7 linked regions of the Coturnix japonica genome follow. The protein of the gene in region 1 purifies or fractionates together with the protein of each later gene. This does not show direct contact. Links are inferred from orthologs where the notes say so. Each region holds a gene or a part of one and is shown in the gene's direction. Other genes may lie near its edges.

Region 1 (3,991 bases):
ATCACTTCTCACAGCCTGGTTCCCACCCCCACACCCAGCGGGCAGCTGCCATTCCCACGACACCCTCCTGACCCCACATCATGCACCCACCCAACGTCCCCTCTCGGTGTCACCCTCCCGGTCCCCAGCTTGTCACCACGGCATCAGGGAAACCGTGTACACCGGGAGCAGCGTCTGCCGAGGGGTGGGGGGACACCAGCAGAGGAGCGGGGTCCCGTTGGGAGGGTCTCTCACCCGATGAAGTAGGAAAGGATGAGGAGCTGCACGACCCGGTTGACGACGCCCACCACCCAGCTCTTCACCACCACCGACTTGGTGGTCTCGTAGGAGAAGAAATCAGCCAGGCAGCCGGACTGGGAGCGCTGGGGGGGCATGGGCAGCCGGGCGGGGGCACAAGCAGGGGCTCCACAAGGATACGGGTGGGGATACGGGCGGTGGGAAGGGACGGACGCAGGGAGCGAGGCAGGGATACAGGCAGCGGGCAGGGATGCGGGCAGATAAAGGCAGCGATGCGGGGATGTGGGCAGGGATGCGGGCGGGGTGGTGCAGAGGGGTGGGCACAGGACGGAGGGAGCGGGAGGGGGGGCAGGGGGAGATGGAGGGAGGGGGCACGGGGGGAAGGAGGAGGAGGGAGGGGAGGAGGATGTGGGTGGGGGGAGGGCTGAGAGAGGCGGTGAGAGAGGGCTGGTTGTGCGGCGGTGCTACACGGGGCAGCGCTGCCCGGGTGCCCTGGGGGGCTGTGTGCCCTACTGGGGTTGTGTGCCCTGTTGTTGGGGCTGTGTGCCCCGTTGTTGGGGGCTGTATGCCCTGTTGTTGTTGCTGTGTGCCCTGTGTTGAATAGTGTGACTCTGGTTTTTAATGCCCCGCACTCGGGATGGTCCCACTCCGGGTGTCTCTGTGCTCGCGGACCCCGTGTGCCATCTCGCAGCGCCTGGCCGGGTCCCATATCGCTGTGTCCCGCTGTAGGGCTGCCCTTTACGCGGGGTGCCCCACGTTGGCCGTACCCCCATTCCGCAGTGCCCTATTAGAGCTGTACCCCGACCCGCCATGTGCCGGGCACAGCCACCATAACGTCACGGGGATCACCCGGCTCAGCCAATGGGAAGCAGCCCCCCCACTTTCCGGCTGGAGGCCTCCCTCCTCTCTATGGTTCCAGGTGAGACAGACCGCCGCTTCGGGGAGCGGCCGCTCTAGCCCGCCCTCCTTCCACCCCGCCGCCTCCATGCCAGAGCGGCCGAGCGGCGGCTCGTCTCTATGGCGGAAGTGGGGGCGGGTTCCGGCCGCGGCGCGGGAGGCGGTTGTGGGGGGAGGCGGCTTCGCGCGAGGTTCGTGTTGCGCAGGCGGGAAACGAGGGGTCGGCTGACGGGGGGGGGGTGATGGGTGGGGAGGGCGCTGGGGGGAGGGGGTGATGGGAGGGGGGGCGGCCGGTGTGAGCTGTGGGGCGGCGGATGGGGGCGTGGGGCCTAGGAACAAGGGGTGGTAGGGGCTGCTCAGGGCTGTTGTGCCCCTTCTGTAGTGGGACGGGAGGATCAACGGCCCTGGGAGCCCCGGGGAGGCGTTAAGGGGGGGGTGTTGCTGTGGGGTCACATCCCTCACGGATCGCTCTGGGGTTCCCATGTCCGTACTCACTTTCTCCCCCCTCCTCCGCCCCCAGCACGTCGCTGCTCGGTGGCAGCAGGGCATGCCGACCTCGGCACGGAGCTGAACTCCGGCCTCCTCCTGCCTGCCTGCCAGCACGGCCCCCTTCGTCATGGCTGACACGCTGGAGTTCAACGAGATCTACCAGGAGGTGAAGGGATCCATGGTGAGCAGCTCGGTGCTGGGGGCAGCTATCTGGGGTGCTGCCTGATGCCAGGAGTGCTCGCCCCATCTCACAGGCTGGAGGCACACGGTGTGGCTCTGAGGCCTGGTCTCAGCTGTACACCCAGGGGTGCGGTATGGCCCCCCCCCCCCCATCCCTGCAGCTCTTCCGCTGCCTTGTCCTGGCAGAGCTTGTTTTGCTGAGCTCGACTGGAAATGGGAGCTGAGGCGCCTTGTTTCCAGAGCTGAAGCATTTTGGAGCATCAACAGGGGCTTTTAGTAGCAGCCTGTTGCGGAGCTAGCAAGGTTGTGGTTGGGAACGTGTCCAGGGGAAGGGATGCCAGCTTCAAGCATTCACCCTTTGATGCAGTAGCTACTGCTGGGCAGCTGGGTGCTGTAAATCAGCCTGTTCCAGTGCTTGGGGGGGTGGGGCGCAGTGCCATGCTGCAGTGATGTTGAGCATTTCTGGGTTACCCTGTGGCATCTGGGAGACTGTTCCTAAATGCCTGATGGAGCTCTAGTACCGAGGCTGCTGGCAACCCGGCTGCCTGAATCCCAAAGGAGGGTGGTAAGGAGTGCATGGAGAACAGAAACTGGTGGGTGGTTGGGGAATTCGCTTTGCGTCCCCTGGGAGAGCTTAGCAGCTGTCTGTGCTGCGTGGAAGTTCCCACCCTTGGGCTGCTCCCCTCCATGTGCACGGGGCAAGCTGCCTGTACCTCACACCCACCTCCCACCAGAACGATGGCCGGCTGCGGCTGAGCCGCCAGGGCGTCATCTTCAAGAACAGCAAGACAGGGAAGGTGGACAACATCCAGGCCTCGGAGCTGGCAGAGGGTGTGTGGCGGCGTGTGGCGCTCGGTCACGGCCTCAAGCTTCTCACCAAGAATGGCCATGTCTACAAATACGATGGTTTCCGGGAATCGGTGAGTCCGTGCCGTTTCTGACTGTTGTCTGAGCCATGCTGACCATCCTTTCTTCAGCTCGCTTGTGCCACAGTCTCTTTGCTTGCTCTGTATCGGGTTACACTGCCTGCAGGATCTGCCATATCTCACAGAGCTGATCTCCTTCCCTTTAACAGCAGCTGATGTCTGTTTTTTTCTCATCACTTCTCTCGTACCATGGGCAATGTCCCAGTTACAGGCTCTGGGTCGTGCTGATGCGTACACAGCAGTTTCTGATGAGCGTTCACTTTTTCTCTGTTCTTTCCCACCCCTCACAGGAGTTTGATAAGCTCTCAGATTTCTTCAAGGCACACTATCGCCTGGAGCTGGCTGAGAAGGACCTGTGTGTGAAGGGTTGGAACTGGGGCACAGTGAGGTTTGGAGGTGAGTTATGGTAAGACAGGAACAGAGCGGTGATGCTGCTGCTGGAGCAAGAGAGTCTGCAGTGTGTAGGTCAAGGTGGTGGGGCTGGATGGGCATCTGGTGGGTCAGTGTCTTCATCCCACCAGCCCCTGGCTGTTGACAGCTTTAGATGCTCCTCTGGAAAACTGCTCCCTTTTTTAGTGGTGGTTTTGGATACAGTATGGATGTCGGTCATCCCAGGAAAGCAGGAGATACTTGCAGGCAGCACAGCATGTTCGGGGTGGGGGTAGGCAGAGAATGCTCAATGTAAAAGAGAAATCTGCATGGGAGCTGTGAGCATCTAATAGAGCCTGCCAATTCCTCAGGGAGCCAGAAGAGCTGGTGAATGCCCCTCCCTGCTCTGAGAGAGGAGGAAGAGGGGAATAAACAGCCTATTTGTTTTTGATCAATATAATTCTCTGTTACTGTAGCTGGGAGGAGAAAGCCTGGATATCTGCGTTGAAAACATTGAAAAGAAGGGAGGGAGAGGGGAGGCACTGCTGGGTTTTGAGAGAAGAACGATGCTGCTTCTGGAGTTTGGATCTGGGATGGAACTCACCTTGGGTCTGCCCAGCAGGGTTGACCTGAGGTTCTTATCCCTCCCCACTTCCTGTAGGGCAGCTTCTCTCCTTTGACATCGGGGAGCAGCCGGTGTTTGAGATCCCCCTCAGCAATGTCTCCCAGTGCACGACGGGCAAGAACGAAGTGACGCTGGAGTTCCACCAGAACGATGACGCTGAGGTCTCGCTCATGGAGGTTCGCTTCTACGTCCCCCCTACCCAGGAGGATGGTGTTGACCCTGTGGAGGTGAGTGAGGCACAGGAGGGCTAGTTGGTTGCCCTCGCCTA
Region 2 (2,590 bases), on another chromosome or scaffold:
TTTGATGGTTGTTCTATGCAGCTTTTAAATGTTTGACATGTCAAATGGAATAAATGTCTGTTTTACGTAGCTTTTAATGGGGCAAAATACTTGAGATCTTAAAGGAAAATAAATTGTTTCAGACTCGGTTCTGTGTCAGGCTTGCAGCATCTGGCAGGGCTTTCTGTGTTGCTCATCTGCTGTGCGGTGGCTGATAGGATCTGATAGGGTAGATAGTAGGCTCTGGAACGGTTCTCCCTATTCTACTTCTGTGGCTTCTTTGAGTTGCTGGACTGCTTTTATTGAAGTAATGTCTCCTGTAGAGCAGTTAAACAGTGCTGGTTAGGAATATAAGGAAAAACATAACAAGGATCTACAGCTCAGGTGAAATCTAATGGGAAAGAGCTTCGATCTGCTCTGGCCTTCCAGGTTTTTCGCCTTTAAACAATCTCCGCCCATTCAGTAAAATGTTTCGTCTGTTTAGCACAAGCACTTCACTGAGGACATCCAGACAAGACAGTACCGTTCCTTGGAGGTGTTGATAGGGTCGGGGTACAGCAGCCCTGCTGACATCTGGAGCACGGCGTGTATGGTGAGTGCTGATCCAGGGACTGTGGGCTGCTGCTGTGGAGTGTTCTGGTAAACTTGTGTGCTCTGTGCACTCTGCAGTCTGCTGGATCTCTAGCCAGGTCTGGCAAAAAGCCCAAAAACAACCCAGACAAACCCAGCAACCTTTGAAAGTCAGGGTTTTGTTGTACGATGCTGGCAGAACTGAAATAGAACTGCACTTCACTGTCATGCTCTATTGATGAGCAAGATGGCGAAGCAGTTCTGAAGACAAGAATCTTTGTATAAAGGGCCTTCTTGGTGCATCCAGCAATGTTTCATAGATGTCTTAGTATTCGAATCCCATGCATTGTCTGCATGTTTGAAATGGTAAGAAAACCTGCTCCGAAATTTACTATAGCTATGCCTGTGGTGTTTTTTTAGTGCTGTCATTAAAACTATAGAATGACTGTGCATCTTGAGATGGTCACAGCATGCTGGAGTTGTGCAGATTATTCTGTTGTCTGCCTTTGCTGTGGTGAGCAGCATTGGGTGGAATCAATCTGTGGTACTTCTAACAATGTGTGAAATGCACTGAAGTGTTTTAATTTTGCTTATTGCTGTTTTAGGCCTTTGAACTAGCAACAGGAGACTACCTATTTGAGCCTCATTCTGGAGAAGACTACTCACGAGATGAAGGTAGGGCATGAAATACAAATCCTTCAGAATGAAAGCTTTCTTTTATGCACAATATGAAATCGTTTAGACTGATGTTAAGGGACTGCTGTGCTTGACCATTTGCAGTAGAAGCTGGCATTCTTGTTCCTGATATCTTCCATTCCTTTAACTCTTAGGTTTTATCTTTCTTCTCTAACTCATCATTCCTGCATCTCTTCATCCCCATACTCCAAGTCTCTGTCTTTGCTGTTGTGATCTGATTTTGGGTGGATGCCAAAGTAGTTTTTGAGGGGGGTTGTGTTTTTGTCCATAACATTCCAGGGAGAGAAACTGCGCCATACAGATAGATGTCTTTTGTGGATATGTTATTCTGTCGTTTCTCTTGAACAAAATGCAGATCACATTGCTTTGATCATAGAACTTCTGGGGAAAATACCTCGCAAGCTCATTTTGGCAGGGAAGTATTCCAAGGAGTTTTTCACCAAAAAAGGTAAAAGGAAATGAAGCAAATGTTATTCTTTTTTCCCCTTTGCCCCACATCTGAATAAACAAAAGTACCTTGCTGGAAGTAGCGCTTAACAACACGTGCCAGCAAAGACAGCTCTTCTAAGGTCTGTTTTATGAGAGGAGGAAAACAGTAAGACAAAACTGCAGCTAAATCTGAAATATCCTCGTCTGACTGCTAAAAATATTCGGTGTCTGGTTATTTGGCATCTTGCTTGTAGATCAAACACAGCAGATTGGAAAACAGTGCTGTATGTGTTTATCATAGAATCACTGAGACTGGAAAAGACTTCCAAGGTCATCTGGTCCAACCATAATTTCTTCAGCCTGGAGGAGGCAAGAGGTTCTAGCATCAATTTTCCTGCAGCATGCCCCAAATTTTATCTTCCCCACATTTAACTATTAAGGAGAGCTCTTTGGATTCAGTCTGTGCTTGCTGTTAGTTCTGTTGTTTGGCTGTTCTACAACCATGCCTTGAAGTTAACATACCTGTCTTGGTTTTCAGGTGATCTGAAGCACATCACTAAACTGAAGCCCTGGGGCCTTTTTGAAGTCTTGGTGGAAAAATATGAATGGTCCCAGGATGATGCAGCTGCATTTACAGACTTCTTACTACCGATGTTGGAGCTGATCCCAGAGAAGCGAGCTACAGCAGCAGAGTGTCTCAGGCACCCCTGGCTTCTCTCTTAGGGGCTTCAACCCAGTGCCACTGCACTGCACTCTGGTTTACAATATAGAATACACACCCCCAGCTGCCCCTTCCCAGATCTGTTTTTTTTTTTTTTTTTCCCTTGTTCAGTTTGAGCGTGAAGTTCTTCCTTCAAGGCTTCCAAGATTTTAGATAAATCTAACCTGTTCTGCTGAGTTTGCTGTTGTGACTCAG
Region 3 (2,992 bases), on another chromosome or scaffold:
GAAATTGACCGCGGCAGGATTGCTGAACCATCAGTGTGCAGGAACTGTAACACGACGCACAGTATGGCTCTGATTCACAACAGGTCCATGTTTTCTGACAAACAGATGGTACGTTGTGCTTTGATATTGGATAAAATGAAACTTTTTTCCAGTTCTTGTTTCCCATCTCCCCTAATATCATCACAGCATGAAGGTATGCATCTTGAGAAGGAAAGTTCCTAATTGAAAATGATGCAGGAAGCTGTGATAATACAAGATCTTGTATACCTTGTGTACAGCTTTCTTTTTTTTCTTACTTTCGACTTGGTTTTATTTGTTTTTGCTAGATCAAACTGCAGGAATCCCCTGAAGATATGCCAGCCGGACAGACACCTCATACGGTTGCACTGTTTGCTCACAATGACCTTGTTGATAAAGTTCAACCAGGCGATAGAATTAATGTCACAGGTAAAATTTACTTTATTTGCATTTTCCTTTTTAACTGAACTGTAGTAGTTTAATCTATGAGTCTGCTTGTCTGGCAATTGGACGCTTCTTAAGACATATTAGTTAATATGTTTCTTTTATCTAATGCTGTCATTAATTGTATTTAGGCATCTACAGGGCAGTCCCAGTTCGAGTTAATCCGAGGGTCAGTGTTGTAAAATCTGTCTATAAGACCCACATTGATGTCATACATTATCGCAAGACTGATTCAAAACGCCTGCACGGTGTTGATGAGGAAACGGAGCAAAAAATGTTTACAGAAGAACGTGTGGCATTTCTAAAAGAGCTGTCTACTAAAGCAGACATATATGAGAGACTTTCTTCAGCACTGGCCCCAAGTATCTACGAGCATGAAGATATCAAAAAGGTAAAAGGAATTGTGTATTTTGCTTGTAAAACATTTCTGAATTGCAAGTACTCTTTAATTGTTTGCTATACAAATGAGACTTCAAATGAGTTGATATTTTGACTTTAAAGAGCACGTTTGTTTTTTTAACAGGGCATTCTACTTCAGCTCTTTGGAGGATCAAGAAAGGATTTCACTCGCACAGGTAGAGGCAACTTCCGTGCAGAGATCAACATTCTTCTCTGCGGTGATCCCGGCACTAGTAAATCCCAGCTACTCCAGTATGTGTATAACCTGGTTCCTCGAGGCCAGTATACCTCTGGGAAAGGCTCAAGTGCGGTTGGTCTTACTGCATATGTGATGAAGGATCCAGAAACTCGGCAGCTGGTTCTTCAGACAGGCGCTTTAGTACTCAGTGATAATGGCATTTGCTGCATTGATGAGTTTGACAAAATGAATGAAAGCACAAGATCAGTACTTCATGAAGTAATGGAACAACAGACTCTCTCCATTGCAAAGGTTGGTGTCTGCTTAAGTCCAAGTTTTTTGTTCTAAGCATCAGCTCAGGGCAGATGAAACCAAGAAGTTGCCAGAACCAGGGTTGTACTTTTCCGGTGTTGTTAGGATTTCAATCCTAAATTATATAACATCTCGTGCTTATGGACACAGGGCTATCCTTGCATGAACTGTATTATTTCCAGATGCTTTTCTTCTTGCTTTACTCTAGTAGGCTTCTGCAATGAGTTTTTCTATTATGAAACCCTTTAAATGACACTGATCTTATGAAGGTTCTGAATCCAGAACTGCTTTTTCATTTTAACAGGCCGGAATCATTTGTCAACTGAATGCTCGCACATCTATTCTAGCAGCAGCTAACCCAATAGAATCACAATGGAATCCAAAAAAGAATACTATTGAAAACATCCAGCTTCCTCACACACTGTTATCAAGGTACTGAACCCTTCACATGTCTCATGTTTTTTTTACCTGTTGTGAAAAGGATTCAGTATGGTAGAATCAGAATTGCAGCTTCTGCATGAGTGGAGATCTACCTTCTAGTCTATTCATCTTGAACAGAAGATCTGATAAAATCTGTGGATCTTAATCTTTGTTGTGTTCTTTTGTTGGCTTTTTTTTCCTTCCCCCTTGTCTCAAGATCATCCTCTGGAGGAGTTACCTTGAACCTTACAGTAGTTGGTAACTTGAATGGAAACCCAGCATGATTTTCATAACCCTGCACAAGTTTGAAGTGAAACACTGATGATTAGGGAACTTGCACTGGATGTGGTGGACTCTAAAGTTCTGTGCCTGCTTGTTTTCATCCTGTGAAATTCAGTCAGGGAGGGGGCATAGATCTCCTTGGACAGTAGCTGTTAAAACAGCATGTAGCATCTGCAGATGTGAAATTAAGCTATGTACTTTAATTGCATCTGGTGAGCAGTTCCTACACTAATTTAAAGTATATGGATGGTATGCTGGATATTCTGAGAACACCATTTATAGTTCAGAATTCAATGAAAGGCTGCTGACAATGACAGGTAAGTACCTTAGCTGGGATATACCGAAGGAAACTAGGTTTGAGCATGTCTCATTTCTGCCATTTATTGGATTTAAGGTTTTGAAAATACGTGACTAACTAGCTAGAACATTATTATTTACAGTTACCTACAATGTTACCTATTGTGTGCAGAACTAATATTTTGTATTTATTTTAAATGCATATACATCTATATGAATATAGTGAATAGTTATGCACTTTGGTTGCTGCTGCTTTTCAGGGCAGCAGCTCTTACAGTAAGTTTGTTCTGTGTTATTTGTTTAAAACTCCCAAAGAAAAAAGACCAAGTCTGCCTTGAACCAAATTTCACAAAATGTATCTTGTCTTCAAAGTGCATATGTTGAAAGCAAATTCAAACTGATCTGAGGGTTAGACTCGGTGATCTAGCCAGCTGCAGTTCTGTAGTGTTTTGTATTTAAAGGTGTTTGAGGGAAAAGTACTCTTTCAGTTTAAAGAGCACCCTTCATTTGGAGTAGTATCTCCTAAATCTAATTGTGAAGTGAAAAACCATAAAAGAATCAACTTTAAATTGCAGGAAAATATACACGCTCATATTTGATTCTTATTCCGTTCAGGTTTGACTTGATCTTTTTAATGTTGGA
Region 4 (4,026 bases), on another chromosome or scaffold:
ACTTTCCTGTCCAGACTCCTGCTGGAGAAACAGCTAATTCTAGTTGCAGAAACTGGTCTGATGAACGCATGGTTTCCTGTCATTCATTAGAAATACATTATTCATTGACTTTCCAATCATTTGCCATTAAAACTAATCAAATGCACTTCAGTTATCACCTGCCTATCCCAGTGGTGGTTTTGTTGCTTTTTTTTTCACCTAACAGAACTCATGCCGTTATCATTAGTTTTAATTCCTGACCCTGTTTCATCATTTAGCATTTACACAGTCTTGGCACATTAGCTCCTGTCACAAGGACTAAATAGAACACCATCATATAGTGCTGCACAGCCAAGATGGTAGAGAGGAGGGCAGGATTTGAGCCAGGTTGGGAGGCAGAAGTTGCTTTGGACAAGTGCTGCTGGTGTCATGTCATGCTTCCCTGTCTGTTGAGCTGATATTGTATAGTTGAGTTGGAACCAGGAATTACATTTATCTCTGATCTAGAAGGGATTGCCAGAAAGCGGGCTACTGAGCCATCTGGCATCAGCGTGAATCAGCCTATGACTGACCTGTGACCAATACATAGGCAATGTTTTACATCAGCGTGTGTACTGAAGTTTAAGCATTTGATTCAGCAGAACGGTGCGTCCAAACTAGATCTGTACTTTTAAAGTTTTACTGATTGCCTATCAACTTCAGTTCGGCGATGTGCCTGTGAACAGAGGCATCGATGCCACGGGCCAAACTGAACACAGGCCAAAATGTCTACATGCCTCCTGGCCCAACCACTCGGGCTGCAGCAGTTGGAAGTCTTTAACAAAGTGAACTCGAACCGGTGGGGTGCAGGGCTGTTTTTGGGTGGTGAGGGCTGCGCACAGAGGTGAGGAGACCGCCTGCGGATGAGAGCCATTAGGGGCACGGCCTACAGCGGGGGAGGCTTATGAGGGGCGGGGCCTACGTGAGGGAAGGGGCTGGTTGGTTCGAGGGCGGGCCGGGCCGGCTCGCTCCGCACGTAGCCGGGGGTGTGGAGCGGGGAGGGGCGTGCAGCGGAGGGGGAGAGGAGCGGGGCGGGGCGCGGGCGGCCGTTGGCCGTTTGTGGCGGCGGGGCAGCCTCCTCCCGGGGCACGCACACAAACAGCGCGGGCCGCCCGCGGGTGGGTGTCGGCGAGGGAAGGCGGGAGAAAGGCGGCGGACGGAGGGGCCGCCCCGCCTCTCTTCGGCGCTCCGTAGACCGGCTCAGGACAATGGAAGAAGCGACGGCTACGGTTGTAGCGACGGAAGCGGCGGCGGCCAAGGGGGGGCCGTGCCCGGTGGATCGGACGGGGGCGGCGGCGCTGAGCGGGGAGAACGAGGCCGAGAGCCGCCAGGGCCCGGCGGAACGCGGCGGGGAGGCGGCCCCGCTCAACCTGTTGGACACTTGCGGCGTGTGCGGGCAGCCCATCCAGAGCCGGCAGCCCAAGCTGCTGCCCTGCCTCCACACCGTGTGTCAGCGCTGCCTGCCGCAGCCCGACCGCTACCTCATGCTGCCCCCCGCCGCACCGACCAAGGAGCCGCCGCCCCCTCCCGCCTCGCCCGGCCCCTCGCCCCTCCACTGCACGCCCGGTAAGGCCGCTGGGGACGCGTCTGTCGCGATAGATGGCGGGGTGTCGCGAGGGGAGGTTAGTGGGCGGGGAGGGGAGGGGGGGCGGGGTCGGTGTTTCTTTATTTCGTTCAAATTTCCCACCTCGGCCCGGGAAGTCCGGCGGGTGTCATCCTCGTAGCGCCAAGCACCGCCGGCCGGTCGGGTGGCACCTGTCCGCTCAGCGCCGCGGGCAGCTCCGGCCCGCCGGAGGAAACTTGGTTTGTGCCACAGCGGACAGGGAATGCCGTGAGAAAGTTTTGGGGAGCTCCTTTGGAGATACGGGAGCTCGTGTTGATGTTGAGTGTGTTTGAAATGCTTGAGGAGCGGTCCGACCTGCAGCTGCATCGTAGGGAACGGTACCCGCAAGCATCATCTGCTGAGAACGGGGAAGGTCCTGGAGAATGCTGCGTGCAGAGATGCTCAACTTTGATGATAGGAGTTAATAGGATGTATGTGGCTGTGCTTTTTGTGAGCTCGAGTAGAAAATTCTACCTACACAAGGCGGCAGGAACTCCAGACTGGCCGTTATTGAGTAGGTATCGGCCATTGTCCTCTTAAGTACCTGGTACTTAAGACAATTACTTGCTCAGTAATAAAGGCTTCTGTTTCTACTACCCGCCAGCACATCTGATCCAAAGGGGTACAGCTTGAACCATTTCCGGCTGTATACAAAAGAAAACCGTCTATCTAAATACTTGGGACAATTGGAGCCTTGCTTGGGCTTACCTGAGAAAGTCAGGCCTGGGATGTTTGTTAGCAGGGTATGCTGAGCCTGTTCCTCCACGTGGATGTCTGTGTTAGTATGTTCATTCAGCCTTTAATTTTAACATTTAGTTTAGGTAGCAGTCAGGTTGTCTCATCAGAACTTTAAGAATCGGGTAATCGGTGAGACCCAAAGCTGGTGTATTTAAACTTGTCGGATCCAGGAGATGCTGTTGCTCTTCCATTTCAGAGCAGAGCCGTGAACTGTATAGAATTAACATGCAAAGCCCAAACTTGGTGGATGGTGAGATATTTTAAGATGGGACTTGGAAAGGAGAAATGGGGGCATAGATGCTGCCAGCTCAGGAGTTGCAACATAGGTTGTGGGAGAGTGCGATCATTAGGAGTTTCGAGGTCATGAATAGCATAGCTCAATTCCCAGACGTTATGTTTAAATATAGCAGAAATAAAACGAGGTGCCGTTGAGCATGAAATGAGATGCATCTTAAGAATGAAAAGATGAGTGCTGTTCGAACGTCTGCTTACAGGAGGACAAAGGACAGCTAAAACAATGAATCATAGCAGCAGTGAACTGATACCGCCATTCACTCTTTCTGATGATGTGAGTGGGCTGTGTATGAATGAATAGCTCAATGCATACTTCTCTCTGTTCTTCAAGTATACAGCCATACCAATTTTTACCCTACTTTCTTTCTAGTTATTTGTGTGCTTCCACGCTACTGTTAATTGTCCATTGGGAAGAAGAAACCCGTATAGATCTCACAGTCTTTGTCACATTCCTTAGGTCTTGTCACTGTTTTGGCTACGTTGAAGTGACAGCGTACCAGCTAATTACACGTGCATTGGCTGCTTTGTTTTCCAAGTGATGTAAAGGGAGTAGTAAATTTATGTTAGGCTTTGAAGAAAGACTCACCTTATAGAGCTGATTATTGCGAGGAATAATGTGTTGTGGTTGAAGGAAGTCCTGGAGTTTCAGAAGACAGAAGAAGGGACAAAACAGCATAAAGCTGTCACCTCCAGTAATACGTTGCACAAAATGTGTATGAGAAATTATCTGAAGTAATAAACAGAAGAGTATAAGCTTAGAAAGCTAGACAATAAATTCCTCACGTTATGTAAATTATAAGATCCCGTGACTGCAGCGAAGAAATAAACAAGCGAAGAAGCTGTTCGCTAGAAGCAATGTCCTATGGAAGGGCTACAATAGAATAACAAACTATGAAAAACTCCTGAAAGGTAAACAGGAGGGCTGCTTATGCACATGTACCGAGCAGTACCAGGCACAAAAAGATGCCTGGAGAAAGACTGGCAGGAGGGAATCAGGCTTGAACAAAGGAAAGGCTCTGATTTGACAAATGCCTCAGTGCGCCAGCTCTGGGAAGGCGCGTCGTGCTGTGCTAATATCCACGTTAACTGAGGAACTGGGAACTAAAAACAAACCGATTTTCTAGTGTAGTCTGGATGTGTGAGCTCCTATTAATCAGCTTTTTGTCTTCAGTAAACCACTTCCAAGCGGAAATGCTCCTTTGCTTTACTAAAACTCGTGTTGGAAGACAACCTGGGAGATTGTTGGCTCACTCCCTGCTAAGTTATTAACAGCTAAGAAGAGCGTGCTGTGAAAAAGCTTTCAAACCTGAGGATCGTAAGTGAATTGAGAGTTTCGGTGTTGCGCACTTGATGCACAGGTCAATATGGACAGC
Region 5 (4,087 bases), on another chromosome or scaffold:
GTGAATATGCCTCACCCGGCCTCTGATGTTCTCAGAGTGGCACAGGGGCCGTGGATTCACAGCCCCACCCGGCAAGATGAACTAACAACTCCAGGAGCCCCCAGTCACACAGTTAGAGCACTGGTTGCTCACCTTCCTGCAAGTGCTGCTGTGCCTGGCTTTCTCACCCTTGAAAGGCAACCACAAGGTAAGCCGCAAGCCCAAGAGGCCTCCAGCTGACTGACTGCAGCTCACACACTGGCTCCTGGCCAACACAGCCCTTCGAGCTTGACTTGGTTTGACAGCTACCAAAACCACTGTGCACTGGTACGTCCACCTCTCTGCTTTCACATCATCACAGAATTGTAGGGGCTGGAAGGGACTTCTGGAGAGCATCTAATCCAAACCTCTGCTAAAGCAGGTTCCCTACAGTAGGTTGCACAGGAAAGCATCCAGGTGAGTTCTGAATATCTGCAGAGAAGGAGACCGTGCAGCCACGCTGGGCTGCCTGCTCCAGCACTGTGAGCCCTCGCAGTTCTCCCGGCTGAGTGAACCCTGTTCTCACGCTAATCCCGACTTCCTTTGCGAGGCGCAGAAGAAATGCCCAGCACTGCTACATCGTCTCCGCCGTTTGTAACCCTGGAGGTGTGGCGGAGCAGGACCGCGTGGGTGTGAGGAGCAGAGGGAAGGTGAGCTGCTTCCTCGTTCCTCGCGGTATTTGGTTACGGGCCACCGCTGCCGTAGCGGAGCCCCTCATACGTCCCTTTGCCGCCCTGGGAGCGTTTGCAGACACACCACTTCCGCCGTTTATTTATTTACTTACTTCGAAGAACACGGCACACCGTAAACACGCGGCTGACTTATTAATCACTTTTAACAGCGGAGCGGACCGGGTAAGGTTTGCTTCCTGCCAAACCTTCCTCAGGACGCCGCGGAACCGCTTGTAACTGCTCGGGAACACCGAGAAACGGGCTCCGATTTTACACGGGGAAACCGAGCGCTAACACGAAATACAGCCGGCGCAGCACGGCCCGCTGCATTCATGGCGTCCCACCGGACCAGGCCGCGCCCAGCGCCCTCCAGCCGGCCCGGCCCGGCCCCCCGCGCCGCCTGCCTGCAGGGGAGGCGCTGCCCCGAGCCCGGCGCCGTAGGGAGGAGGCCCGGCCGGCCCCCGCCACCCTCCGCGCGGCCCGGCCGTGGCTCCTCCTCCCTGCCTTCCTCCTCCTCCTCCTCCTCCCGCTCGGTCCCAGGGCGCAGGGCTGACATCACGCTCGGGGTTTCCATCCGACCGCGGGAGGGGGAGGCTGAGCGGCGTGATGGCGGCGGTCGGCAGGACTTGAGCGGCGGCGGCAGCGGAGCGGCGCAGCGCAGCGCCCACCCTGCTTATCTTATCTCCGCGCCCCTCCCTGCCCGCTTCGGGGTCCATTGTTCGGTGCCGCCGAGGGCGGCGGGAGAGCGTTCCGCGTGGGGTTGCCGGGAGCCGGCGGCAGTGAGCGGCGGCCCAGGCCCCGCCGCGGCCGCAGGAGCAGCTCCCGACCGCGAGCTGCGGCACGAAGCGCCCCGCGCGGCGCACGCAGGCTCGGGCCGGGGAAGGCCTGTCCCGCAGAAGCAGAGTCACGCAGGTAGGAAGCGGCCCGCCATGGCTCCTCTTCCCCACGCGCCGGACCAGAGTTGTGTGGCGCACGGAGATGGATCGGGCGTGCGGGGCTCTGGATAAGGGGCGCGGGGCTGTTTTCTGCGGAAGGAGGAAGGGAACAGCGAGGGCCGGGGCGGCCGGCCGGATGGTGTCGAGCCGCTCTCGCTGGCTCCTGCGGGGGGAGCCCGTGCCGAGCCGGCGGGGAGCACAGCGCGGCCTTGGCTTTCCTCCGGCCGTGGGGGGCGCCGGGGGAAGCGAGCGTGGAGGACAGCGACGGCCTTAAAGACGCTGCCGGGGAACCTTGGCCGGGAGCGACGGCTGTGAAGGCCGCGCCGCCCGCCCAGCGCCGGCTCCGGGGGCGGGAGGCAGCTCTGGACGGGTCCCCGCGGCAGCGCCTGGGGGCGGACGGAGGGAGAGCGGCGGCGGGGCTCCGTGCGGGTCGCCTCGGAGCGAGCAGCGGGGCCGCTCACCATGTTCCTCAGGGCCCCACGGGATGTTTTTCCGCGCGTAGGGCGCGGTGCGGAACGCGGCCTCCTCAGGCAACGGCCGCCGAGCCCCGGCCTCGCCTCGCGGCCTTTCGCGGGTTAAAGGGCTCTTTCTAATCATTTTCCCTCCGTCATCGCCTTTGTTTGCTGGCCTGAGTGGCCCAGTAGCTGAGAGGGGTCTGAGCATGGGGAATTTCCCGTCCCTCAGCGGCACTGCTCTCACCCTCTCCCCCAAGGAAGGAGAGCAGGGCCGCTGCTCACCAGGGAGAGCACTGCGGGGCAGGGAGCCCGCCGGCAGCTCTCACACCAGGAAACATAGCAGGAGCTGCTTTCTTGGAGTGAGTTTGTGCTTGTTTGTGCCTAGAGAGCAAAAGTTTAGACTCGTGATGCATAGACTGCATCTGATACTACAGTCATCAAACCTAAGGTGCTCCTGCACGTGAAATGAGGGTCATTTCTTCTGCAAAATCTGGCTGGTTTGATTAAGTTTGGACTTAAAAAAAAAAAAAAAAAATAATAATAATAAAAAGCAGTGTTCATCCTGCTTCTGCCCCCAGCTGTATGTAAATAGCATGTACGTGTGTAGAAATGCTTCCACTGTGTTAGTTTCTGCAGATCTTGGCAGAGCATTAACATTTATAGTCTTTTCCAATGTGTTCAGTTTTTCTTCTAAATGTATGGCTGATTTGTCCCGAAGTCAGAACTATAGTAAAAGTTAATCTGTGAGGCGCAGTGCACATGCACAGTAAAGCATTCTTCTTGCTCTACAGTACTGAAGTGAGGGTCATTTCCATAACGTTTCCTGTTCTGCATTTAGTGGTTTAGCAGAACTGTCATCTTTAGAGCAATGTCAATGAAAAGTTGCGCAAAGGAGTGTAATGGGACCTGACTGTAGTTGGCCAAAAAATGCACAGGTCTTTCCTTTTTTGCATTTTACATGTATGATTCCTCTCTGTTATTACTGTTTTGTCTAAGTACAGCAAATAAAAAGACTTGTTGGGAAGAATGGGAACCATGAATGGGTAACATAGAATGCAGTTTTTCAGTTAAAAAGAGGACATGAAATGTGATGCATGCCTGCTTTCGGTGTTAGTATGACAGGCCAAGGTGTTTCTGTTATATTTTTAGTTGGAAACATAAATTTCAATTTTTGTCAGTGTTTTCCTTTATCGTTTTAGGTATTTGGGCAAAAATCTTAGCCAAGAGAATAGCAAGACACATTACTTCAAAAATATACGGAGTACCAGAAAGGGGATTCTTGACATACACCTTGTAACCTGAGTGGACTTCCTTTTTAACTTCTTAATACTTACAATGAATGGGCACAGTGATGAAGAAAGTGCAAGAAACAGCAGTGGAGAGTCAAGGTAAGCACTCATTTCAGTTGTTCTTGGATGTGCTCTTCTGTACTTTCATTAAAATTGATTTACAGTTTAACTTTGTGCCAGATTAGTGAGCAAACTAGATAGGAAAACTGGGTGTGCTTTCTTATAATGCTTCATCTGCTTGTTACATTCATATTGCTTCAGCTAAAAATTGTAATGATCATGCAGATACCTTATATAATAAACCTTAGATAGTATTAGAATTACATCAGCATGCAACAGAATAGTGTTACTCTTTTGAAGAAATAAAATGTTTGAAAATTCAAAAGCTGAAATAGGACTGGAAAGTTAAAGTTAGAGCTTAGAATGTGCAAGGCCATCTCCAATATGGGAGCAGTGAGCTGTTGATTTCTGTTTTTGACTTGTAGTACTTCACGAGGCTTCCTTTTTCACAGAGCTGTTAAAGCAGTGTAATCATTGAAATTGTTAACTGTCTCTTTTCTGAGATGGGATTGCAATTTACCAGCTTCTTTATATTATTTTTAATTACAAGGAAAAGAAAGGATAATATAATAATTAAACTGCAACAAGAAAAGCACAGTCCTCTAATACTGAATTCCAGTGCAGCATTCACTTGGTGTAAGTCCCCAGTTCAAATTTTC
Region 6 (4,222 bases), on another chromosome or scaffold:
CCGGGCTCTACGGAACCTTCCGGGCGTTCCTGTCGGCCCCCAGCCAGGACCTGGCCTCCATCGTCAAGAGGACGGACAGGACCCTCCCCATCGTCAACCTGAAGGCAGGGCTTTATCCCCCCAGCAAGCACGGGCTCCCCGTGTGTTTTCCTTGCACCGAGACGCACCCACAGCCATTGCAATGGGGACAGCGGGCTTTGAGGAACGCTTGTCCCCCCCCCAAAGCTCACTGCCCCCCCCCAAAGCTCATTGCCCCCCCCGTGTCCTTAGGGCCAGCTGCTGGCTCGCTCCTGGAGCTCCCTCCTGCAGAGCCCGGCTGGAGCCGCCCTGCGCAGCCCCATCTACACGTTCAATGGGCGCAACGTGCTGAGCGATGCCCTTTGGTGAGTCCCGGCCCACGAAGGGTGGGATGTCGGGGGGTCTCCCCGGGGCTCCCCGTCATCCCGTCTCCCCGCAGGCCCCGCAGGTTGGCGTGGCACGGATCCACGGGGCGGGGCGGCCATTCCCAGCGCCGGGACTGTCAGGGCTGGCGGAGCTCCGGCCCCGGGGAGGGTCTGGCGGCCCCGCTGGGTCCGGGCCGGCTGCTGGCCGGGCAGCGCCGAAACTGCTCCGAGGAGCTGGCGGTGCTGTGCGTGGAGGTCGCCTTCCCGTACCGACACATGTGGTGAGAGACCCCCGGAATTGGGGGGGGCTGCGGCTGGGAGCAGCGGGACACCGGACACCCCGTCCATCACGGAGCCCCCCCCCCCCCCCCCACACACACACAGCGCCCACGTTTCCTCGGATATAAATAAAGGATCAATCAAAGCTGCACATCGGGCGGTTACAACGCGCTGCTTCTATTTGTTGCGTTCGGGATGGCACCAAATGGAACCGAATGGAACCAAATGGAACCGAATGGAACCGCCGTGCGGGATGAACGGGATGGGCGGGATGGGCGGGCGGGGATGGGGCTGATATGGGGCAGGTATGGGGCTGATATGGAGTTGATACGGGGCAGATATGGGGCTGGGATGGGGCAGATATGGAGCTGATATGGGGCTGATATAGGGCTGATATGGGGCTGATATAGGGCTGATATGGAGCTGATATAGGGCTGGGATGGGGCTGATATAGGGCTGGGATGGGGCTGATATAGGGCTGATATGGGGCTGATATGGGGCTGATATAGGGCTGATATTGGGCTGATATAGGGCTGATATGGAGCTGATATGGGGCTGATATGGGGCTGATATGGGGTTGATATAGGGCTGATATGGGGCTGATATAGGGCTGGATATGGGGCTGGATATGGGGCTGGATATGGGGCTGGATATGGGGCTGGATATGGGGCTGGATATGGGGCTGGATATGGGGCTGGGATGCCGCCGTGGTGCTGAGGATGGTTTTGGGGGGGCACAGTCCCGCACTGCCCCGCACGCCGCCGCCCCCCAAACGATGTACTGCGTGCCTCGCAGCGCCCTCCTTCCTCGCTCCTCTATTGGTTACCAGACCTGCCCATCAAGCAGCCCCCTCTCCCGACTGTCTGGTTTTGAAAGAGCGGAGCGCACGGGAGGGCGGGCCGTACGTCCCTCCGCCCTTCAGCGATTGGCTGTTTTCAAGGGGCGGTGCGCTGTGATTGGCGGAGCGTTTCGGCGGGCTCGGCGGAGGTTTGAAACGCGCTGCGCCGTTACCGGCCGCCATCACTCCGCGCCCGCCGCCATGGAGCTCATGGACTCACCGGCGCCGCTCCGGGTACGTGAGGGACCGACCAGACCCTCCCTCCATCCCTCCCTCCCCACCCCGCTGAGCTCCGCTCTCTCCCGCAGCCCCTTCACGACAACGCCCGGCTGCCCAAGGCCGATGTGGCGCAGAAGCGGCTCTCGGTGGAGCGCATCTACCAGAAGAAGACGCAGCTGGAGCATATTCTGCTGCGGCCGGACACGTACATCGGGTCTGTGGAGACCGTCACGCAGGTGGGGAGACCTGTGATGTGTGATATATGTGTGATATATGTGTGATGTATGTGTGATGTATGTGTGATGTATGTGTGATGTATGTGTGATGTATGTGTGATACATGTGTGATACATGTGTGATACATGTGTGATATATGTGTGATGTGATATATGTGTGATACATGTGTGATACATGTGTGATACATGTGTGATACATGTGTGATACATGTGTGATGTATGTGTGATGTATGTGTGATGTATGTGTGATGTATGTGTGATGTATGTGTGATATATGTGAGATATATGTGTGATATATGTGAGATATATGTGTGATATATGTGTGATATATGTGTGATATATGTGCTGTGTGTGGTGTATGTAATGTATGTGGTGTGTATGTGGTATATGTGGTGTATGTAATGTATGTGGTATGTGACATGTATGTGACATGTATGTGACATGGGGTGTATGTGACATGTATGTGACATGGGGTGTATGTGGTGTATGTAATGTATGTGGTGTATGTAATGTATGTGGTATATATGATATATGTGCTATATGTGGTGTGTGTAATGTATGTGGTGTCTGTAATGTATGTGGTATATGTGATATATGTGGTATATGTGGCAAATATGGTATATGTGGTGTATGTGGTATATGTAATGTATGTGGTGTATGTAATGTATGTGGTATATATGATATATATGTGATATATGTGCTATACATGGTGTATGTGATGTATGTGGTATATGTAATGTATGTGGTATATGTGATATATGTGGTATGTATTATATATGTGGTGTATGTATTGTATGTGGTATGTATATGTGGTGTATGTAATGCATGTGGTATATATAATATATGATATATGTGCTATATGTGGTGTATGTGATGTATGTGGTATATATGATATATGTGCTATATGTGGTGTGTGTAATGTATGTGGTATATATGGTATATGTGGTGTATGTAATGTATGTGGCATGTGTGATATATGTGGTGTATGTGGTATATATGATATATGTGGTGTATGTGATATATGTGCTATATGTGCTATATGTGGTGTATGTGTGTGCTGTATGTGGCTCCTTCTTCATTGCAGCAAATGTGGGTGTTCGATGAGGACGTGGGCCTCAACTGCAGGGATGTGACCTTCGTGCCTGGCCTGTACAAGATCTTCGATGAGATCCTGGGTGAGTGCAGCCCAGCATTGTACCTGCCCTCCAAAGGACACGGCCGCTGTGTTACAGCCCGTTTAACCCTCAGTTCTGCTGTGGGTGCTGTTATTGTAGCGTCCTTCTTTGTAACCTGCCAAACATCTCCCTTCCAAAGAGTTAATTGGTGGTTTTGCATTGGATCTTTGCATTTGTTCTACTGAAAACCCCACCTGATTTAGCCCTTTCACTATGGTTTATGTCTATTGTCCCACTTGTGAATGCGCTCTAATAAAAGTCACCTTCCCCTTCCAGTCAACGCTGCAGACAACAAGCAGAGGGATAAAAGCATGTCCTGCATCAAAGTTACCATCGACCCGTGAGTGCTGCTTTTGTCCAATGCCTTCCCCCCTCAGCTGCTTCATTCTCTCACTCCCTCACTGCCCTGTTGGTGTATGTACATCATCCTGTTGATGTAGGTGCTGCAGAGCTCAGTGTCGAGGCCTATTCATGTTAAACCTACCGTGGCTCATGGGCTGTAACAGCCTCATTCCTTGTGTGCTTCCTCGTTCTGTTGCAGAGCACTGACTGCCAGGCTGTGGTTGCACTGAGCACACGCTTTCTGTGTGCTGCTCCATTGTATTGGTGCTCTGCAGGTCTGAAGCTGGAGGGCTTTTTGTAGACTTGCCCTCCCTCTGCTGGCTGCTGCCGCAGTTGCTGAACAGGAATCTGTCTGTAGATGAAATGGTGGCCTTCCTGTGGAGATCTTGTCTATTTGTTTCAGAGCTCAGTCATCTGCAGCCTTACAAATTATACTTTCCTCCTCCTCCAGAGAGAATAACACCATCAGTGTGTGGAACAATGGGAAGGGTATCCCAGTTGTTGAACACAAAGTAGAAAAAGTGTATGTTCCTGCTTTAATCTTTGGGCAGCTGCTGACATCCAGCAACTACGATGATGATGAGAAGAAAGTCACAGGTAGGGAACACTGCAGAGCGTGCAGATGTACCTGGGCAGCCTGACTGTGTGATCTGGGAACTGAAGTACCTATATGAGTAACTGGTGTTAATTAAATGCAGCTTTATAGTGGCTGCAGGGTTTGTGGGACAGTTTATTGTTAGTCATACTTGGT
Region 7 (2,720 bases), on another chromosome or scaffold:
TATTGCAGTTCTGTGTTTCAGTCATACCAAATAACAGTAGTACCGGTGTTATCTCCAGCTGGTGCCCTTACGTAAGTGTGGCATGCAACTCAGTGGTAGCTGGAGTTTGAGTGTGGTGTGGGAACATTTTGAAGCAACTCAGAATGCAAGAACATACCTTGCAGATAGTGCTGCTACTCCTACTCAATGCGTGAACTCTTACCTGGTAGATGTTTTGTTTCAGAAAAGACGTAGCTTAATTGCCTACAATTCCTTCTTCAGTGTCAGTTCAAAGGTAAGAGTTTCTCCTTAGGAAAAAGCACTTAAATTCCCCTTCCAACAGAAGACTTCCAACAGAGAGAGCGGGGCTCGGGCCAAGTACATCTTTGGCAGAAGGGAATAGGAAGCGCATACAGCTTGGTCTTGAGTCAGGTCACAGTGCTACATAGTGAACAGGCCGTGTATTAAAGCACATCAAATCCATCTGTAAAGGAAGAACCTGCTGACCAGTGAACTGTCTGATGTAAGGTTTCAGATTCAGGTTGGTTATTACTGTGATTTATTTGTCTGTTTTTAATCCTAGGTCCTGGGCAGCATGATTGCATTTTCAGTGCGGTACCAGCTGGTGCGCTTATTTTATGATGTCTGACTGAGCTTCCAGGAGCGGCACCTTCCAGTGAACTGTACTAAAACAATTCAATTCATCTGATATTTTGATCTGAAAACTTGAAGCCACCTTTCAAAACACGAGGAACTGCTCCAGGCCGGCCTAGAATCACAGTTCTCTTCTTATGGACAAAGCGTCTCTGTCCTGTTCTGCTGACAGTCAGCACTGCTTGCATGTCCTTGCTACCGGGAACACCTTTCAGATGGGAAATAAGCAACACGAATCTGTACAGAGTCCTTAGGGAAAGCAGGAGAAATGGAACGTCTAAATGTAAGAAACATGTTGCTGTTCCTTGAGAGAAGAAATAAGAACTGCAGCGTCTGTGAGGCTGTACGGCAGAACAAGTGAGCTGGAATTGCCCTGTTGGCTCATGAATGAGTCCATGGATGCAGAATGACGTGCTGTAATCGTACCTGTACTCAGGGCGTTCTGAGAATAAAAGAACTCGAGGTACATTGCCATCTTCGGTTCTGCCTTGCGGACATTGACGTGCGCTGTGACATGGCCCCGCCCCCTGCCGGCGCTTCGCCCCGCCCCCCGCTCACGTGGCCCCGCCCCCTCACCGTACCCGGCCGTGAGCGCCAACGTCCGCCGCGTGGTACGAATTTGGCGCCTTGTCTTCTGATTGGTCCGTCGCCGCCGCCAATAGGTGGGAGGTGAGCGCCAAGCCAGCCAGTCAGCAAAGAGGTTCAGGCGGCAGAGCTCCAATAGCGAGGCGCTGTGGCGCCGTCCAATCAGCGCGGCCCTGCCTTGAGGGAGGTTATAAAGCGCCGGGGCGGAGGCGCGTTCCCCTTGTCCCGCCGCAGAGCTCCGCAGATCCGCGTTGTGTGTCCGGTCCCTGCGAGGCGCCATGTCTGGCCGCGGTAAGAGTGGCGGTAAGGCCCGAGCGAAGGCCAAGTCCCGTTCCTCCCGGGCCGGGCTGCAGTTCCCCGTCGGGCGCGTCCACCGGCTGCTGCGGCGCGGCCATTACGCGGAGCGGGTCGGCGCCGGCGCCCCGGTGTACCTGGCGGCCGTGCTGGAGTACCTGACGGCCGAGATCCTGGAGCTGGCGGGCAACGCGGCCCGCGACAACAAGAAGACGCGCATCATCCCGCGCCACCTGCAGCTGGCGGTGCGCAACGACGAGGAGCTCAACAAGCTGCTGGGCGGCGTCACCATCGCGCAGGGCGGCGTCCTGCCCAACATCCAGGCCGTGCTGCTGCCCAAGAAGGCGGGAGGCGCCGCCAGCCCGGCCAAGGCCGGCAAGAAGGGCGGCGGGCAGCAGTCGCAGGAATACTAGGCCGCCGGGCCGGGCTCCCCTTCCCCCACCAGCACACAAAGGCCCTTTTCAGGGCCGCTCCATTGCTCACCGGGAGAGCTGCGATCCGAGGGAAGGGACGGCCGGGGGCTGCGGGAACGAGGGGGAGCTGCGATGGGAGCGGGCGGGAGGCACGGCGTGATACTGCAGTGCAGTCACATAATGCAGATACGTGATGCTCTTCCTAAAGACACCTGGTGCTCACAACGTGACTGCTGCATTCAGCAGACATTGCACAGGAAATAAACGATGCTTCAGCTCCAAAACCGGAACCCAACAATGGGTTATTCTGATGTTTCTGTAAGGCACTGCAACATGGCAGTGCAACACGATGGTTCAACCATGAACTAGAGGCAAATTTCTTATGCTTCAGCACAAAGATTGCCAGTTACTGTATATCAATGCCTGTCCTCATTCTACATCTATGTAGTTGCACTGGGAACCTAATGCTGATCTCCTTCAGCATTCCTGAAGATACCAGGGCCAAATATCCACAATTTCACTAGTTTAGCAGAAAACACTTCTGTGCTGTCAGCACAGTGCAGCACTCCAGCACTGCCCCTGTTTAGTCTGACTATAACCTGTATTTGGTGCTTTGTTACTAAATGCAATTGGAGAACAATTGCTACTACATCTCTCCTCGCAACAAAACCCTTTAAACGCGTTTCACAGAGATTTTACAACTCAGGTAAACTTAGAAAAGCAAAACTCCAATTTAGTACTTCAAGTATTTTATGCCCAAATGTCAGACAAGGCTGGTGCAAGTGTTAAAAACGC

What was found.
Region 2: the proteins of SSRP1 (region 1) and SRPK1 fractionate together in Homo sapiens (co-fractionation; 3 studies listed by BioGRID and IntAct, with this or other methods). This does not show direct contact. The link is inferred for Coturnix japonica from reciprocal best matches to the Homo sapiens genes SSRP1 and SRPK1.
Region 3: the proteins of SSRP1 (region 1) and MCM4 purify together in Homo sapiens (affinity purification with mass spectrometry; 4 studies listed by BioGRID and IntAct, counting the BioPlex papers as one, with this or other methods). This does not show direct contact. The link is inferred for Coturnix japonica from reciprocal best matches to the Homo sapiens genes SSRP1 and MCM4.
Region 4: the proteins of SSRP1 (region 1) and TRIM24 purify together in Homo sapiens (affinity purification with mass spectrometry; 3 studies listed by BioGRID and IntAct, with this or other methods). This does not show direct contact. The link is inferred for Coturnix japonica from reciprocal best matches to the Homo sapiens genes SSRP1 and TRIM24.
Region 5: the proteins of SSRP1 (region 1) and CHD1 purify together in Homo sapiens (affinity purification with mass spectrometry; 3 studies listed by BioGRID and IntAct, with this or other methods). This does not show direct contact. The link is inferred for Coturnix japonica from reciprocal best matches to the Homo sapiens genes SSRP1 and CHD1.
Region 6: the proteins of SSRP1 (region 1) and TOP2A fractionate together in Homo sapiens (co-fractionation; 3 studies listed by BioGRID and IntAct, with this or other methods). This does not show direct contact. The link is inferred for Coturnix japonica from reciprocal best matches to the Homo sapiens genes SSRP1 and TOP2A.
Region 7: the proteins of SSRP1 (region 1) and histone H2A purify together in Homo sapiens (affinity purification with mass spectrometry; 4 studies listed by BioGRID and IntAct, counting the BioPlex papers as one, with this or other methods). This does not show direct contact. The link is inferred for Coturnix japonica from reciprocal best matches to the Homo sapiens genes SSRP1 and H2AX.

Annotation. Positions count from the first base shown.
Region 1 is NC_029520.1:7,754,018-7,758,008, reverse strand, and holds the start of SSRP1 (FACT complex subunit SSRP1), read left to right. Parts: upstream 1-1,191; 5' UTR 1,192-1,325; exon of another isoform or gene 1,326-1,354; intron 1,355-1,654; 5' UTR 1,655-1,750; coding exon 1,751-1,804; intron 1,805-2,537; coding exon 2,538-2,723; intron 2,724-3,019; coding exon 3,020-3,125; intron 3,126-3,759; coding exon 3,760-3,950; intron 3,951-3,991. Other genes in the region: P2RX3 (P2X purinoceptor 3), read right to left, coding at 235-374. UniProt on the Homo sapiens protein: Component of the FACT complex, a general chromatin factor that acts to reorganize nucleosomes. The FACT complex is involved in multiple processes that require DNA as a template such as mRNA elongation, DNA replication and DNA repair.
Region 2 is NC_029541.1:479,911-482,500, reverse strand, and holds part of SRPK1 (SRSF protein kinase 1), read left to right. Parts: intron 1-463; coding exon 464-571; intron 572-1,154; coding exon 1,155-1,224; intron 1,225-1,600; coding exon 1,601-1,693; intron 1,694-2,212; coding exon 2,213-2,397; 3' UTR 2,398-2,590. UniProt on the Homo sapiens protein: Serine/arginine-rich protein-specific kinase which specifically phosphorylates its substrates at serine residues located in regions rich in arginine/serine dipeptides, known as RS domains and is involved in the phosphorylation of SR splicing factors and the regulation of splicing.
Region 3 is NC_029517.1:97,603,929-97,606,920, forward strand, and holds part of MCM4 (DNA replication licensing factor MCM4), read left to right. Parts: coding exon 1-108; intron 109-326; coding exon 327-447; intron 448-593; coding exon 594-853; intron 854-985; coding exon 986-1,351; intron 1,352-1,655; coding exon 1,656-1,783; intron 1,784-2,965; coding exon 2,966-2,992. UniProt on the Homo sapiens protein: Acts as a component of the MCM2-7 complex (MCM complex) which is the replicative helicase essential for 'once per cell cycle' DNA replication initiation and elongation in eukaryotic cells.
Region 4 is NC_029516.1:55,859,755-55,863,780, forward strand, and holds the start of TRIM24 (transcription intermediary factor 1-alpha), read left to right. Parts: upstream 1-1,226; coding exon 1,227-1,584; intron 1,585-4,026. UniProt on the Homo sapiens protein: Transcriptional coactivator that interacts with numerous nuclear receptors and coactivators and modulates the transcription of target genes.
Region 5 is NC_029547.1:45,465,091-45,469,177, forward strand, and holds the start of CHD1 (chromodomain-helicase-DNA-binding protein 1), read left to right. Parts: upstream 1-1,287; 5' UTR 1,288-1,601; intron 1,602-2,272; exon of another isoform or gene 2,273-2,438; intron 2,439-3,278; 5' UTR 3,279-3,414; coding exon 3,415-3,467; intron 3,468-4,087. UniProt on the Homo sapiens protein: ATP-dependent chromatin-remodeling factor which functions as substrate recognition component of the transcription regulatory histone acetylation (HAT) complex SAGA. Regulates polymerase II transcription.
Region 6 is NC_029542.1:4,104,692-4,108,913, reverse strand, and holds the start of TOP2A (DNA topoisomerase 2-alpha), read left to right. Parts: upstream 1-1,422; 5' UTR 1,423-1,437; coding exon 1,438-1,734; intron 1,735-1,808; coding exon 1,809-1,955; intron 1,956-3,038; coding exon 3,039-3,129; intron 3,130-3,405; coding exon 3,406-3,469; intron 3,470-3,922; coding exon 3,923-4,068; intron 4,069-4,222. Other genes in the region: collagen alpha-1(III) chain-like, read left to right, coding at 1-104, 271-383, 458-668. UniProt on the Homo sapiens protein: Key decatenating enzyme that alters DNA topology by binding to two double-stranded DNA molecules, generating a double-stranded break in one of the strands, passing the intact strand through the broken strand, and religating the broken strand.
Region 7 is NC_029539.1:24,533-27,252, forward strand, and holds histone H2A, read left to right. Parts: upstream 1-1,214; 5' UTR 1,215-1,496; coding exon 1,497-1,925; 3' UTR 1,926-2,220; downstream 2,221-2,720. Other genes in the region: DPAGT1 (UDP-N-acetylglucosamine--dolichyl-phosphate N-acetylglucosaminephosphotransferase), read left to right, coding at 563-628. UniProt on the Homo sapiens protein: Variant histone H2A which replaces conventional H2A in a subset of nucleosomes. Nucleosomes wrap and compact DNA into chromatin, limiting DNA accessibility to the cellular machineries which require DNA as a template.